Caenorhabditis elegans: one gene and its partners. The protein of the gene in region 1 purifies or fractionates together with the protein of each later gene. This does not show direct contact. Each region holds a gene or a part of one and is shown on either strand. Other genes may lie near its edges.

Region 1 (4,713 bases):
ATGTTTTTGGTTGAAAATTGGCATATTTTTTCTTGTGGTTTATAATTTGAAAATATCGCCAGAAAATCGACTTTTTGATGGAAATTGGTGAAAATTGCACTCAAAAAATGAAAATTCGTCGATTTTTGATTGATAAATCTAATTTTTATATTAATTTTTTCGATTTTAAAGTGACAATCACGTTTTTAAAGCAAAAAATTCGAGATTTCTGGCAAAAAAAAGGGTTTTTCATGCTAAAATCGACGTAAAAATCGTTTAAAAGCGCATTTTTCCTTGAAAGTACGAAAAAAATCGGTGTTTTTTTTTTTGGGATTTTCCATTAAAAATTGAGTTTTTCTTGATTTTGCCCGTCAATTTATCAATTTTCCGCCAAAAATCACCAGATATTCGACTAGAATACCTCTCGTCTCACAAAACACGAGTTTTTAGTGGAAAATTGAAAAATATCGCCAGAAAATCGACTTTTCGATAATTTTATAGACATTTTCATGAAAAAACACTAAAATCTCGTGTTTTGTGATACGAGAGGTTTTCTAGTCGAATATCTGGAAAAAATTGGGGATTTTTGGCGGAAAATTGATAAATTGACCGGTAAAATCAAGAAAAACTCAATTTTTAATGGGAAATCCCAAAAAAAACCGATTTTTTTCGTACTTTCGAGGAAAAATGCGCTTTTAAACGATTTTTACGTCGATTTTAGCGATTTTCTGTTAATTTTCGAAATATTTTTGCCGAAAGTCATGAAAAACCCTTTTTTTGCCAGAAATCTCGAATTTTTTGCTTTAAAAACGTGATTGCCACTTCAAAATCGAAAAAATTAAGATAAAAATTAGATTTATCAATCAAAAATCGACGAATTTTCATTTTTTGAGTGCAATTTTCACCAATTTCCATCAAAAAGTCGATTTTCTGGCGGTATTTTCAAATTAAACCACAAAAAAAAATATGCCAATTTTCAACCAAAAACACTAAAAACTAGCTTTTTGAGTCGAAAAACTCTGAAATTAGACAAAAAAAAGAATATCGCCAAAATCGACGTAAAGATCGTTTAAAATCTCATTTTTCCTTGAAAGTACGAAAAAAATCGGTTTTTTTTTGGGATTTTCCATAAAAAATTGAATTTTTCACGATTTCAACCGAGACAATTTATCAATTTTCAAAATCCCCAATTTTTTCCAGATATTCGACTAGAAAACCACCCTCGTATCACAAAACACGAGTTTTTAGTGGAAAATTGGAAAATATCGCCAGAAAATCGATTTTTCGATAATTTTATAGACATTTTCATGAAAAATCGACGTAAAAATCGTTTAAAATCTCATTTTTCGCTCGAAAGTTTGCAGAAAATGCGATTTTTTTTTTGAGATTTTCCATAAAAAATTGAATTTTTCACGATTTCAACCGAGGCAATTTATCGATTTTCCGCCAAAAACCCCCCATTTTTTCAGATATTCCGATTTTGAAGAAAAAAAACACGTTTTCAAAGCAAAATCATCGAGATTTCTGGCATAAAAATGGGATTTTCATGACTTTCCGCAAAAATCCAACTCGAAAATTAACAGAAAATCGTCGTTTAAAAGCGCTTTTTTTTTTTGGGATTTTCCACATAAAAAATTGTGTTTTTCTTGATTTTGCCCGTCAATTTATCGATTTTCCGCCTCAAAAATCCCCCATTTTTTTCAGATATTCGACTAGAAAACCCCCTTCCTCGTATCTAGAATATCGCTAGAATTAACGGATTGATCAAAAAATCGCCAAAAACCCGCCGAAAATGGGTGTCCCCAAGTTCTACCGATGGACATCGGAGCGATATCCGTGTCTGAGTGAAGTGATCAACGAATCGCAAATTCCGGAATTCGACAATTTGTATTTGGATATGAATGGAATTATTCATAATTGCTCGCATCCGAATGACGATGACGTCACGTTTCGAATTACGGAAGACGAGATTTTCGTGAATATTTTCGCGTATATTGAGGTAAAGAGCCGCCGAAAAAATTTGCCCAAAAACGGAGAAATTTGCAAAAAAACCGGCGAAAATTAGTTCAAAAACGGGGAATTTCACAAAAAAAGAGCGAAAATTAGGCTAAAAACGGCGAAAATTGCCAAAAAATGGAGGAATTTGCAAACAAAACGAGGAATTTCACAAAAAAAAAAGAGCGAAATTTGCAAAAAAAAACGGCGAAAATTAGTTCAAAAACGGGGAATTTCACAAAAAAGAGCGAAATTTGCAAAAAAAAAACCGGCGAAAATTAGGCTAAAAACGGCGAAAATTAGCCCAAAACCGGCGAAAATTAGCTCAAAAACAAGGAATTTCACAAAAAAACAGCGAAAATTAGTTCAAAAACAGGGAATTTCACAAAAAACGGAGAAAATTAACCCTAAAAACGGAACATTTTGAAAAAAAAACATCAAATTTCTGTCAAAAACCCGCCAAAAATTGGATTTTTTGAGCTTATTTACGTCTGAAAATGGAAGAATCGGCCTTCTGGATCTCGGCCACGGCCATGTGTCGATTTACACGGCTCGTGTACTCCCCGAGGACAAGATTTTACAGTTTTTTACTAAAATCCCTGATTTCGGGCAGTTTTTGCCTATTTTTTTTTTTTGGATTTTATATTAAAATTTGCCGCCGAAAATCGATAGTTTTACTGTTGAAAAAGTAGAAATTTGGCGGTTTTCAGATCGATTTTCACCGAAAAAAGGCGATTTTAATGTTGAAAACGATGAAAAAAAATGTCCAAAAACTGCAAAATCACCAAAAAATCGAATTTTGGCGGTTTTTCAGCAGAAAATTGTCTGAAAAATCACGATTTAGTGCGCATTTTTCCCGTTTAAATTGAATTTTTTTTTCAAAAAATTCAAATTTTGCTGTAAAAAATGACAAAATTTGATATTTTTCTCTTTTCAGAATCTCTACAATCTAATTCGCCCGCAAAAGGTGTTCTTCATGGCCGTCGACGGTGTGGCTCCGCGAGCAAAAATGAATCAGCAACGGGCGAGACGATTCATGTATGTGGAAGAGCTGCTTTTAGCAGGAAAAAAGGAAATTTGGTGAAAAATTGGCGATTTTTGACCAAAAAATTGTGCTTTTACATTGGAAAACTACTCATTTTTTTCGTATTTTTCCATTAAAAAAACCAATTTTTTGTATTTTTCACTTTGAAAATTCAATTTTTCGGCTCAAAAACTGCAAAAATGTCCAAAATTTGTGATTTTTCACCTAAAAAAAAAATCCAATTTTTGTTATTTTTCACTGCAAAAAATTCAATTTTTCGGCGCAAAAATGTCAGAAATAACCAAAAATTGTGCTTTTTCATTTGAAAAAAATCCAATTTTTGTTCTTTTTTACTCAAAAAATTCAATTTTTTTCGGCTCAAAAACGTCAGAAAAGCTCAAAAAATCTAGCAAAAATTGCAATTTTTCCAGGTCAGCCCGAACAGCCCATACTCAACTCGCAAAAGCGCTGGAAAATGGCGAAATTATGCCATCTGAAGCTCGATTCGACTCGAATTGTATCACCCCGGGCACATATTTCATGACACGGCTTCATCAGAAGCTTGACGATTGGATTAAAACGAAATCGGCGACCGATTCGCGTTGGCAAGGCCGAAAAATTATTCTCAGCGGTCACAATGTGAGGAAAATGATGGCTCTCTTCAGATTGAGCTCCAGATTTGCTCAAAAATCAATTTTCTTTAAATTTTTCAGGAAAAAATTGATGAAAATTCCAATTTCTGATGAAATTTCTAGGAAAATTTGGATTTTACAGCAAAAAAAAAGTGGTACTTTTTACAATTTTGCTGTGAAAATTGCGATAAAATCCAACAAAATGGCTGAAAAATTTTTTTTGACCAAAAAAATCGAATTTGGAGCTCAGATTTGCTCAAAAGTCAATTTTTTTTCATATTTTTTAGGAAAAAATCGATGAAAAATTGCAATTTTTCAGGAAATTTTGGATTTTAGACCCAAAAATGAAGTGTTTTTTCAACAAAAAAAACCCGATTTTTTTTTATGTTTTAGAGCTAAAAATCAGCATTTTAGTCCAATTTTTTTTATAAAAACGTTAAAATTTGTATATTTTTGCTTTAAAAATTGCGGTGTTTTGGGCCTTTAGGTGAAATTTTGCGAACTTTTTTAGAGAAAAAACTGAATTTTTGCTTTAAAGCGTTTATTTATTCGAATTTTCGAAAAAAAATTTCACAGATTTCAAGCCAATTTTGGCTTAAAATCAAGAAAAAATCACGTTTCTTCGTCTATTTTAATGCTAAAAACCGGGTTTTTGAGTAAAAAAGTGTTAAATTTCAAATTTTTATTATTTAAAAAAGATTCGGAAAGCGAAAAATTGCAATTTTTCTTGAAATTTTTTAGAAAATTCGGATTTTAGGGCGAAAAAAATAGAAATTTGTACGTTTTTGATGTAAAATAGCTGAAATTTGCTCAAAAATCAATTTTTCTCATTTTTTGAAGGAAAAATTAATTCGCTTTTCACTAAATCTGACAGGGAGCCGGAAAATTCGGAAAATTTGGCTCAGAAACTGATTTTTTTGCCGAAAAAACCGCGAAATAAGCGGCTAAAAACGAGAAAAAAAAATGCCAAAACACTCAAATTTTCATCTATTTTGATGAATTTTGTAGCAAATTTCATGGAAAATGATCTAGAAATTCGGCAGAAAAAATGCATTAAAATTTGCATTTAAAAAAAATTTGTGA
Region 2 (5,917 bases), on another chromosome or scaffold:
TCTATTCAATTAGACCAAGATTTCATTACCGTATCTAGTTATATTTCAAATTATAGACTTTATCTCGTAAAGTTTCTTCAAGTAAGAAAGGATGTGTTGCTTTTTTTTGCATTATATTGTTCTCAGTAATTATTTTTTCATTAATACAACTGAAGCAGTAAAATTTTTTTGGCTGATGAAATTTTCAATACTCTCCATAATATCGAATTGTTTGAATTGCAAATGCATTAGTGAAGGATCGCTTGGTCCATGCGATAAACGACCGGAGAAGTAGATGACCAGGAACGTCATGAGATTCCGAAAATTTGAACTTGAAATCCTTGCCACGTGCATCTACGTGTCCAAAGCGGCGAAGCTGAAAACAGCGTTCAAAAATAACATGGGAGATGACGCAAACTACCACAAATGAGCCCAACTGTCTTTCAGAAAGTTCCGAATAGTAACGGTCAAACCAAGCTGGAAAATTATAAAAATTTTTAAACCTCTGTTCATAATAGATGACCGAGCTTTCTTTTTTTTCTCGCATCTCAAAAAAAAGAACAAATAATTTATTCGTGTTACAAGCTTCAAAGCTCGTATTTTTCGCATTGTTTCCAGGAGCCATTTTTCAACTTAACAAACTTCCACATACATTCCGAATCGAATTTAGCAGAAAAGTATTTTTCAAATTCTGTCATATTTCTTTTCCGGACAGCAGACTGTATTTTCATAAGCATTGTGTCAATTGCTCGGTCTACCGTGATATTTCTTGCAACATAAGCCGTCTATAAAATAACTGGAAAATTTAATAATCGTTTTTTCAAACTCACAGTTTTTTCGATACTTTGGAAAAGAACAATGAAAAACAAGATGGTAAAACCGAATAGACAACCAAACTTCATTGATGTTGAATGAAAAGTTTTAGTCAGAAAACTGTCGGTTTTAGGTGCAGCTTTGATTGAGGCGAACAAAACAAAATTCAAAGGTTTTATTGATATGATAATTTTATTTGTCCGCGATCAGCTAAAGATGTAAATAGTTTTTTCTTGACAATTGACGTAGAAGAAGAGAAAAATATGAAGAAACTGAAAGATGCGAACAAATACTTTAATAATTCTGGGCAAAACTTGGAAATTTTATGAAACTTTAAAAAAATAATATTTGTGCATTGATACCTTTCGCTGAAACACTAGTGTTTGAAAAAATCAGATAAAAGTTTGGCAAATTATATTCTCATGCTCGTCTGTTTTTTTCAAAATGTAATTTTGAAAGTAAATCTTGGGGAACAAAACATTATCCTTTTCAGCTGGTACAGTTTTTTGTAGGAATTACAGTTTTCTTCTCCTGAAAACTAAAACGATATTAAAAATTTTATAAACACTTTTTTCGAGTACAAATAGGTTTTAGTTACATGTTTGATAAACTTTCATAAATTAACTCGCGAAATCATAATGTTGTTTGTTTGAAATCTAGGCCAATACCAAAACCAAAATTGGCATGAGACAAGTTTTCAATTAGAACACTTTTTTCTATACTATCATCAAATGTTCCTCAAGTTTTAATGCCCGTTAGGTTGCACTTTTATTTTGTCTTTGCCTCCTCACAAGTTTTTCTTGTTAATGAGTAGTTGTGAACATACTCATCAAGTATCGGTTGCCATGGAAAAATAACTCACACATTTCAGAGTCTTTCTCGAGATACAACTTTCATTTTATTTATTTTCTACCAAATGAACAAGCTTATCACTGTCATCCGAGATTTCTCATATAGTGTTTATAATTGGTGCTACGAAACTGTAATAGGGTAATTTTCATTTTCATGATCTTCTGAAACGTTACAAAAAAAAGTTTCTTTAATTTTCTTACTGTAGCAGGTTCCAAAAAACTTTAAAAAATTTAAGTAATAAACTGAATAGTTTTTCTATTAACAGGTATGTCCATTATACTTGATAGTATGAATGAAAGTTTGTAATATTTTTCTCGTCAGTATACTCCATCAAGTGTAGTTGTCGCTACTGCGAACGAGTTTTTTAAAATTTTAAAAGAACTGCCTTATCGATAAAGTCATAAAATAATTATATTTTTGAGGAGTTTAATAAACAAAACGTTTTTGTTCCCTTTGAAAGTCATTTAATATTTCAGGGAAAATACTCGGAAGTACAAGATGACATGGAAAGTTCCAAAGGAATCTTTGAAAATTATTGTTAACAAGAATGCAGATGCGGTAATAAAATTCAAATTACCAGTAAATGCGTCTTTAAATTTAGAGAATGCAACGTGAACTTGAAAATAGAACAGCAAAAGATGAAGCAAATGCTTTAACATCACGACGAAGGGTATTTGGCTCATATGCTCTAATTGGCACCCAAAGAGCAGAGTTTATTCAGTTTCGACAAATTAAACATATCGATATCACTAATGCTTCTTTAGACTTTTTGTATAACTTAAAGCAACTGAAACATGACAATCTGGCAAACTTCTATGGTATTCAATTGAATGATGATCTCAACACAATGACAATTTTACACGCATTAGTGGAACGAGGAACACTGGAGGTACAAGACTTACATTTCTCAGTAATTAGAAAATCAGGCTAATTCAAGGAATTTTGTTTGGATCGAGATTTCGGTATGGATGAAACGTTCAAATCCGCATTTATGAGAGATATTTTGAAGGTAACATTTTGCGTTATTCATTAGACTCCATGAACAACTGAAGATTAAAAAAAATAATTCTATAATAAAAATCACAAATCGATTGTTAATTCAAGGGTCTTCAATATCTTCACCTATCTCCTGTTGCGTATCACGGTCATCTTCACGCAGCCACTTGCCTAATAGATATAAATTGGGTACTGAAAATTGCATTATATGGGGTCACAAACTTTGTGTGTGATAACTTCGACGCAGAAAATATAACGATGCCAGATAGAAGTGACTATACTAGTGAGTAATTCAAAACAATGTGCAAAAAAGCCAGACAACAATTTCTAAAATAGCTGATTGCGGGAAAAATTGGAAGCTGACAATAGCCGGAAATCTACAATTATCAATTTCTACACCTATTTGACTTGAATTTTCTTGAAAAATTTGTATCTTTCAATCAGAAACTGTTTTACCTGTTCACGCCGTTACTTCAACCACAACATTTACACTGAAAAACAAAGTATATTTTTATTTTTTGAAAAATAATGTTTAAAAGTTCCGAAAAACAACAATTTTGGCAATTTCCGAATTTGCCGATGACCGAAAATTTTTGGTTGCCACCTACCCCAAGAATATATGCCTTCTTTTCTTATTTTCAGTATCTTACGCGCAGTATGTGTGTTTTCCGCCGGAGCATATTCGAGAATATGATGCTACTGGAAAACTGCCAACCAGATTTGTAAGAGGCAGTAAACAAGGCGATATTTATTGCGTTGGAATGATTTTTTATATGATGATCGAACGTGAAGATCCATATCGACTGATTCACTCAGTTGAGCGACCGGGTTCTGGTAAGTTAGTTGAGAAGTTGCAATGGGTCAAAATGAGTCGACTCGCAAACAAATGAAGACCAAATCAAATGAAACTCAAATGAGGACCGTTAAATATGACAAACTAGGATGTTCTTTGACTTGCCGCAATATAACCTCCTTGCTAATATGCCTAACTCAAAGAGCTTTGTCACCTTTATGCTTGGTCTAGAAAAGCATCAGGGAAATTTATCTTAAGGTCTCATGATGGAAATTCTTGATCACAATCTCATGCCATTCATTTCAAACAATGAAACACAAGAGGACACTCTGCTGGATAAATGTAAAGAATGCTGGAATAGAGATCCGGAAAAGCGACCGACAATTGAAAATCTACGAAACGCAATTGCAATATGTTACGCTGATTCGTATGTTTTTTAAAGAATTACATTTTGTTTTTCAAATAATTATACAGGAAAATTTCCAGAAAAGGAAATTTAATCGATCAAATGATTAGAATGAATGAGAAGTATGCCGATGAGCTCGAAACCCTAGTTGCGGCAAGGTCTGCTGATTTGGCCCTTGCACAGATGCAAACAATGAGATTGCTAAATGAGATGCTGCCAGCGTAAGAACATTATTTTATCACCATTATAGTTTGCTTTTACAACCGACCTCCGGCTGACTGGCTCCACAGCTTTTTCGGAAGTAACTTCACAGTGCTTGTATTCACAAAGAAATCTAGTTTACCCAACAAAACTAGTATTGTCACTGCGACTTTGTTTGATTGTAACTACAATAGTCCAACATAACCGAATATCATTAACATCACTACAAACATTTCAATATTTTTAAAAACTTTCGTAGAAGTAAATTGTAAATTAAAGTTATTGCAGAAAATACAGAAATCGATAAGCAAATAACAAAAATAAAACAGAGACATTCAGTATTATCTCATTATAAGACATAAAATTGTTTTAAAAATTACAGGAGTATTGCAAAAGACTTGAAAAACGGAGTAATCGCTCCCGCTAGAAGTTATGCATCGGCAACGGTTATGTTTGTCCAAATATGTGACTTCATTGTAATTTTGAAGCGACGTCCTCCAAAAGAAGTTGGGATTCCGTAAAGTTGTTAAATAATGTTTATTTTTCTAGGTAATTGGCTTTCTCAATGACATTTTTGATCAGTTTGATACTGTAATCAAAAGGCATGACGCTTATAAGATTAGTTTTCAGTGACATTTCGTTCCCCAATATGTGAATTCAGGTTGAAACTACTGGCGAAACCTACATGGTGGCATCCGGTGTACCCAACGAGAATGAAGGACGGCATGTATTCGAAGTCGCGGAAATGAGTTTGGAAATTCGTGCTATATCGTTGTCATATACACTAGAAAATGACAAAAACTACAAGGTTATTGTCAAGGGAAAATATCTTATAATTGGGTTATACAATGCATTTTTAAAATGAAAACAAGTTTTTACATAATATTTTAAAATTTAGTTGCCCAATATAAGGCAAAGCACTGCGATTAATTATAATTCATTCGTTTCAGCTTCGAGTTCGAATAGGATTCCACGCAGGTCCTATTGCTGCCGGTGTAATCGGAATTAAAAATCCTCGCTACTGTCTTTTTGGTGACACTGTAAATTTCGCGTCCAGAATGCAATCAAACTGTCCTCCCCTGCAAATTCAAACTAGCGAAATTACAGCAAGAATGCTATTGGCCACTCATGAGTATAAACTGGTGAAACGAGGGATAGTTCATGTCAAAGGAAAAGGTATGTCAAACACAATTTTATATAAACTTTTAAATATTTTTGTTTTTCTATGTAGGTGAAGTGAATTGCTACTGGCTTAACGAGCACATACACAAGGACGAAGAAATCGAGGAATCGGGCACAATATCCCATCCCTTAGAGTCGTGAAAATTTTTTAAATCTATTTTTTTAATTCATATACGTTTCTCTAAAAATGAACGTTTAAATAATTTTGCAAAAGCGTTTTCTTACAAAAAAAAAGCCTTTTATGACAACATATCGAAATAACAATAGTTTTTCAAATAAATTCTTTGAATTTTGAAGATCATCCAACTATTTTTCCAAGGTCCACCGATGTTTGTATGCGCAAAAATTTAAAACTAAAAGTAAAAGGTTGAAAACGAAAAGACGGTGACAAGTGGTTAATTATTTGCTCAGAAAAACATAAAAGAGAACTAGAGTTTGTTATAAACGGACACTACAAACTATAAGGCCAGAAGTTGGAGAATTGTAAAAGTTTGAAGTGTGTAAAACTTTAAAAATATGTGAAAACTATAATGTGTTATTTTTCTTCCATATTTTCCTAGTCCAATGTTAAATAAAAAACAATCATTCGGTGCTCTACTAATAAACATTAGCAGAAATCATGATTTTTTTTCTTTTCGAGGCATAGTTAAATCATAGAATAGTAGTTGGTAAACTCAATTAAAACATGGTTTGAT
Region 3 (4,008 bases), on another chromosome or scaffold:
GGAAGGATGGACGATAGACGGGGTGGCAAAATATTCAACCCCATTGTTTGCCCCCGTTTCTGACGAAGAGCCCGTGCACATACATAGGCTCGCACTCTCATTCCGCACATTTTATCTCGTTGAATTCAATTCAATTAGGTCACTTGCTCTAGTTTGCTCTTTCAATCTCTACTCTTTTAACCCGGGTGCTATGATACTTTAAATCAAACTTCCATCACCTTCCATATAGATTAACTCTTCAGATTCCACACTAACATCCTTAAAAATTACAAAAATATTTAAATGCTCCAGAATGACATCCTGGACAATTTTTGAATATTTCATCCTCAGCGTCTGCCATCTCCGCTTAAATAGGAAAAGGCTCACACAATTTGCAAATATATATTTATAAAGGCTCGGTTTATTTGAGATGGCACATTTTTCATTAAGTATTCGTACCAACGGGCACAATTGTGCCCGATTTGTGTCTAGAAAAACTAGGAAAATCGTGGGAAAATGACAGTTTGTTTGCCAGAAAACTCTTCAGTCTTCTATATAATCGTAGTTGTGGTAGTTCCAAAACTTGTGTTTTCATATATTTTAACTCGTATTTTAACTGCTGCAAGATTTCTAAATTAAATTATATTAAACCGAGAAATTTCGAAGCTCAGAAACTATGATTACTTGAGGCAGATATGTCTCAATTGTTCCAATGTTTTTAACTAGACTCAGGCCAACACAAAGACCAAGTGCAACATATCAAAATTACACATTTGATGTCCAATGCACATGTTTCAAATTTGCTCAGAAACCCTTCACCTTCATCTCCTGCTCCACCACCCACCTCTCTTGTGTCGGCTCTCTCCTATGCTATTATATGTATGTGCTCTGAATCCCTTGCAGAATTCATGTAATACTATGTTTTCCCGTTTCGTCTACTTGCTTCCCTTTTCTTTCGGTGTTGATTTACCTAATTAAATGAGAACCTACGTGCATTTCCTGCTCCGACTCAGAGAGAGAGAGAAATTATTCAATATAGCAATGTAGCAGAGATTTTTATTCTATTTTCAGTTGTTTTCAAGTATTTCCAGCTATCAATCATCACTTTTCTGAAGCAGGTGAATACTGAAAAACAATCCATTCTGCAATCTCGTTATACCTTTTTTGATTCGAACAGCTCCTTCACTCGTGATATTATGAGGACGCAGAAACATGATACGCTCCGCCCCCAAACCATGGGTCTCGTTAGGTATTTGACGGAAAAACCTTCAATCGAAACGTTTTAATAGTGTTTTTCGTTTTTTTATTATGTTGTTTTTAAAGATTTTGATGCTGAAATTCTGACATGAATTTTTAGTCAAATGAAACAACATTAATTTCTTAAACAAGAAATCTTTAAAATCAACTTAAAACATAACAAAAATTTTTTAATATGAAACTAATTGAAAAACGTCTGAATTAATGAGTTCTGCCGCCAACTTCCTACCGAGACCCATGGCCCGGAGGCGGCGCGCTTTGCACTTCAATTTGAATAGGTATTTTTTCTGCGTCCCCATAATATACCCTAACCTCAATTCATATGGCTGCTTTTCTTGACCGGAAAATGACGTTTTCTGGTGAATGTGCTCATTTCCTTTTGCTACTTATTTTTCTACTATGAGATCATGATCATATTGCTTTCCCCGTTTCATATTTTCTATATTTATAACGTTTCGTAATTTATAATTTTCTATATTTCAGTGGAAAATATGGGGATAGGAGCAGATGAGAAGAAGCCGTTGCTAGTACAACTCGACGGGCAATATTATGACATTGCTGATTTTGCGCCTAAACATCCGGGAGGTGCCAAGGTAACTTTTTTTCAAGTTTTAGGATATTTTACTAATCTCAAACTTTTTATAGGTTCTGAATCGTTTGGCTGGAGAAGAAATTGGAGAATTTATCAGAGGAGAAAAAAGGATAATGGGTGTACGTCATGAGCACTCGGAAGCCGCTTATAATATGCTCGAGAGATATAATGTGAATGCAATTCAAAAAGTTCGTTCCTTCCATCAAATCTAATTATTAATATTTCTAAAATTCTAGGGTGATCCATTGATTGAGTCTAAATCCGGAATGCTTTTCAAAGTTGGATCTCTTGGCTCTGAATATTGGCATTGGATTCATCAACCATATGATGGAACTTTAAGGTATTGATGATCTCGACTTTTCAATGCAAATTTTCACTTTTTTTCAGACTTTTCGATTCGGATGTGTTGGAAAGCATGACAAGAACAGCTTGGTGGGTGGTCCCTGCTGTTTGGATGCCGATCGTCATTACTTTTTCTATCCTCTCAGTGCTCTCATTTTCAACATCCACCGATGTTTATAACTCGATTCTCCTGTGGTCTGCCTGGTTCGTCATTGGAGTTTTGACATGGACTCTCACTGAATACAGTCTTCATCGATGGGTTTTCCATTGGAAGCCGTCTCCAGATTCGCCGAATCAGATTCTTCTTCATTTCTTGGCTCATGGACTTCACCATAAAACACCGATGGACGGAGACCGCCTTGTGTTCCCTCCGGTTCCAGCTACTTTGATTGTTGGAATTTTCTATTTAATCTACTCCAATACCTTCCAATGGTCAGTATTAAACCTTTCCTGGTTCCCATATTCAGTTAATCGTTTTAGGCCAGTGTTTTGCGCGTTTGGCGCTGGAAAGTTATTTGGATATGTAACCTACGATATGGTACACTATTATTTACATCACGGAAGTCCTCGTCCACGCAGCAATTTACATTTTAGAAAAGTATATCATCATAATCACCACTTCAAAAACTTTGACGTCGGTAAGTTACATTTAACGGGATTTTGTTTAAAAATCAATTTTTAATTTGTTATTTTTAAGTCAAGAACATTAAAAACTGTTTTTTAATTGAGATTTTCTATAATCTGCAAATTGTCGTGAAATATAATGTTCTCTGACGGAAAATTACACAGATTTGCGATGGAGCGCGTTTGCACTTTCATTTTCGCAATCGAAATTTTTCTATCATTTTCCCTATTTCAGGCCTATTTTCATTTTTCAGGCTTCGGAATTTCGACTTCTCTTTGGGATTATGTTTTCCACACACTCGGAATGGGCCCATTATAATAATACATAGATGTTTTTTCGGAAAATTTGTTGTTTATTGAGTGAACTCTGCCTCACGTTTTTTATCTCTAAGTCTCTTGTCCCGATTCACTTTTCTCACGATCCACTATACCCGTTGTACATATATATTTATCGATTTACCTTTTCTTTTCTCGTACGCCAGATTAGTTCAACTTGTTTTCACATTTTATCTATATAGATCAGCTACTCAGCACGTGCCTATTATCCTCACTTCTTACCGGTTTCCATCAAACATTTTGTGATATTCCTTCTTGTTTTGTTTTCTTTCTGTTATGCGTGAAATTTGGAATAATTTTTAAAAATATCTAATGAAATCACCCCTTCATTCTTTCTCGCTAATTCTTTTTTTCGTTGCAATGCGCCGTATTTATTTCATATTTCTCTATAGTTTCAGAAGTTTTAGAAATCATTGATAGTTTCAGAACTCAGTCTACTTTCAACGGACAATGTTCTTGAGATACTTCTTGGACGAGAACCAACAAAGAGTGTACACTTTGAAGAGAACTGCTCCATCTGGAGAGCAAACTCTTACCGCTCATCCAGCTCGCTTTTCGCCGGAAGACAAGAACTCCAAATATCGCATCATCATCAAGAAGCGCTTCGGACTCTTGCCAACCCAGAAGGCAAAGACCGTTTGCTAAAATGCTGGTTTGGGAGTGGCGCCGCATGTTGCGGCAAAAAATCCGCTCTTTCACCCCCAATAAACCTATCAATTATCAACAGGTAATTTACAAATCTCGCATTTTTCCAAACGATATTTTATAATTTCAGGTGTCTCGTCGTCGTATCATCGTCTCTTTTGTTCTTTTCTTCGTTGGATGGAAAGCTTTTGGTTATACTCTCAACGATATGTTCCTTTGGACTGTCGATGAGC

What was found.
Region 2: the proteins of xrn-1 (region 1) and gcy-27 fractionate together in Caenorhabditis elegans (co-fractionation; one large-scale study listed by BioGRID). This does not show direct contact.
Region 3: the proteins of xrn-1 (region 1) and fath-1 fractionate together in Caenorhabditis elegans (co-fractionation; one large-scale study listed by BioGRID). This does not show direct contact.

Annotation. Positions count from the first base shown.
Region 1 is NC_003280.10:14,067,226-14,071,938, forward strand, and holds the start of xrn-1 (5'-3' exoribonuclease 1), read left to right. Parts: upstream 1-1,681; 5' UTR 1,682-1,771; coding exon 1,772-1,978; intron 1,979-2,911; coding exon 2,912-3,012; intron 3,013-3,429; coding exon 3,430-3,637; intron 3,638-4,713.
Region 2 is NC_003282.8:17,432,423-17,438,339, reverse strand, and holds gcy-27 (Receptor-type guanylate cyclase gcy-27), read left to right. Parts: upstream 1-1,708; coding exon 1,709-1,782; intron 1,783-2,120; coding exon 2,121-2,202; intron 2,203-2,245; coding exon 2,246-2,533; intron 2,534-2,581; coding exon 2,582-2,653; intron 2,654-2,748; coding exon 2,749-2,923; intron 2,924-3,282; coding exon 3,283-3,474; intron 3,475-3,691; coding exon 3,692-3,860; intron 3,861-3,919; coding exon 3,920-4,060; intron 4,061-4,422; coding exon 4,423-4,546; intron 4,547-4,589; coding exon 4,590-4,658; intron 4,659-4,701; coding exon 4,702-4,848; intron 4,849-4,990; coding exon 4,991-5,216; intron 5,217-5,271; coding exon 5,272-5,363; downstream 5,364-5,917. Other genes in the region: C06A12.8 (RxLR effector protein), read right to left, coding at 185-355, 401-456, 632-764, 810-881. UniProt on the Caenorhabditis elegans protein: Guanylate cyclase involved in the production of the second messenger cGMP. May be involved in sensitivity to quinine by regulating egl-4 activity through the production of cGMP.
Region 3 is NC_003279.8:10,175,462-10,179,469, forward strand, and holds fath-1 (Fatty acid 2-hydroxylase), read left to right. Parts: upstream 1-1,719; 5' UTR 1,720-1,727; coding exon 1,728-1,829; intron 1,830-1,881; coding exon 1,882-2,016; intron 2,017-2,064; coding exon 2,065-2,168; intron 2,169-2,215; coding exon 2,216-2,602; intron 2,603-2,650; coding exon 2,651-2,808; intron 2,809-3,048; coding exon 3,049-3,113; 3' UTR 3,114-3,454; downstream 3,455-4,008. Other genes in the region: nola-3 (Putative H/ACA ribonucleoprotein complex subunit 3), read left to right, coding at 3,581-3,775; C25A1.16 (uncharacterized protein), read left to right, coding at 3,777-3,857, 3,906-4,008.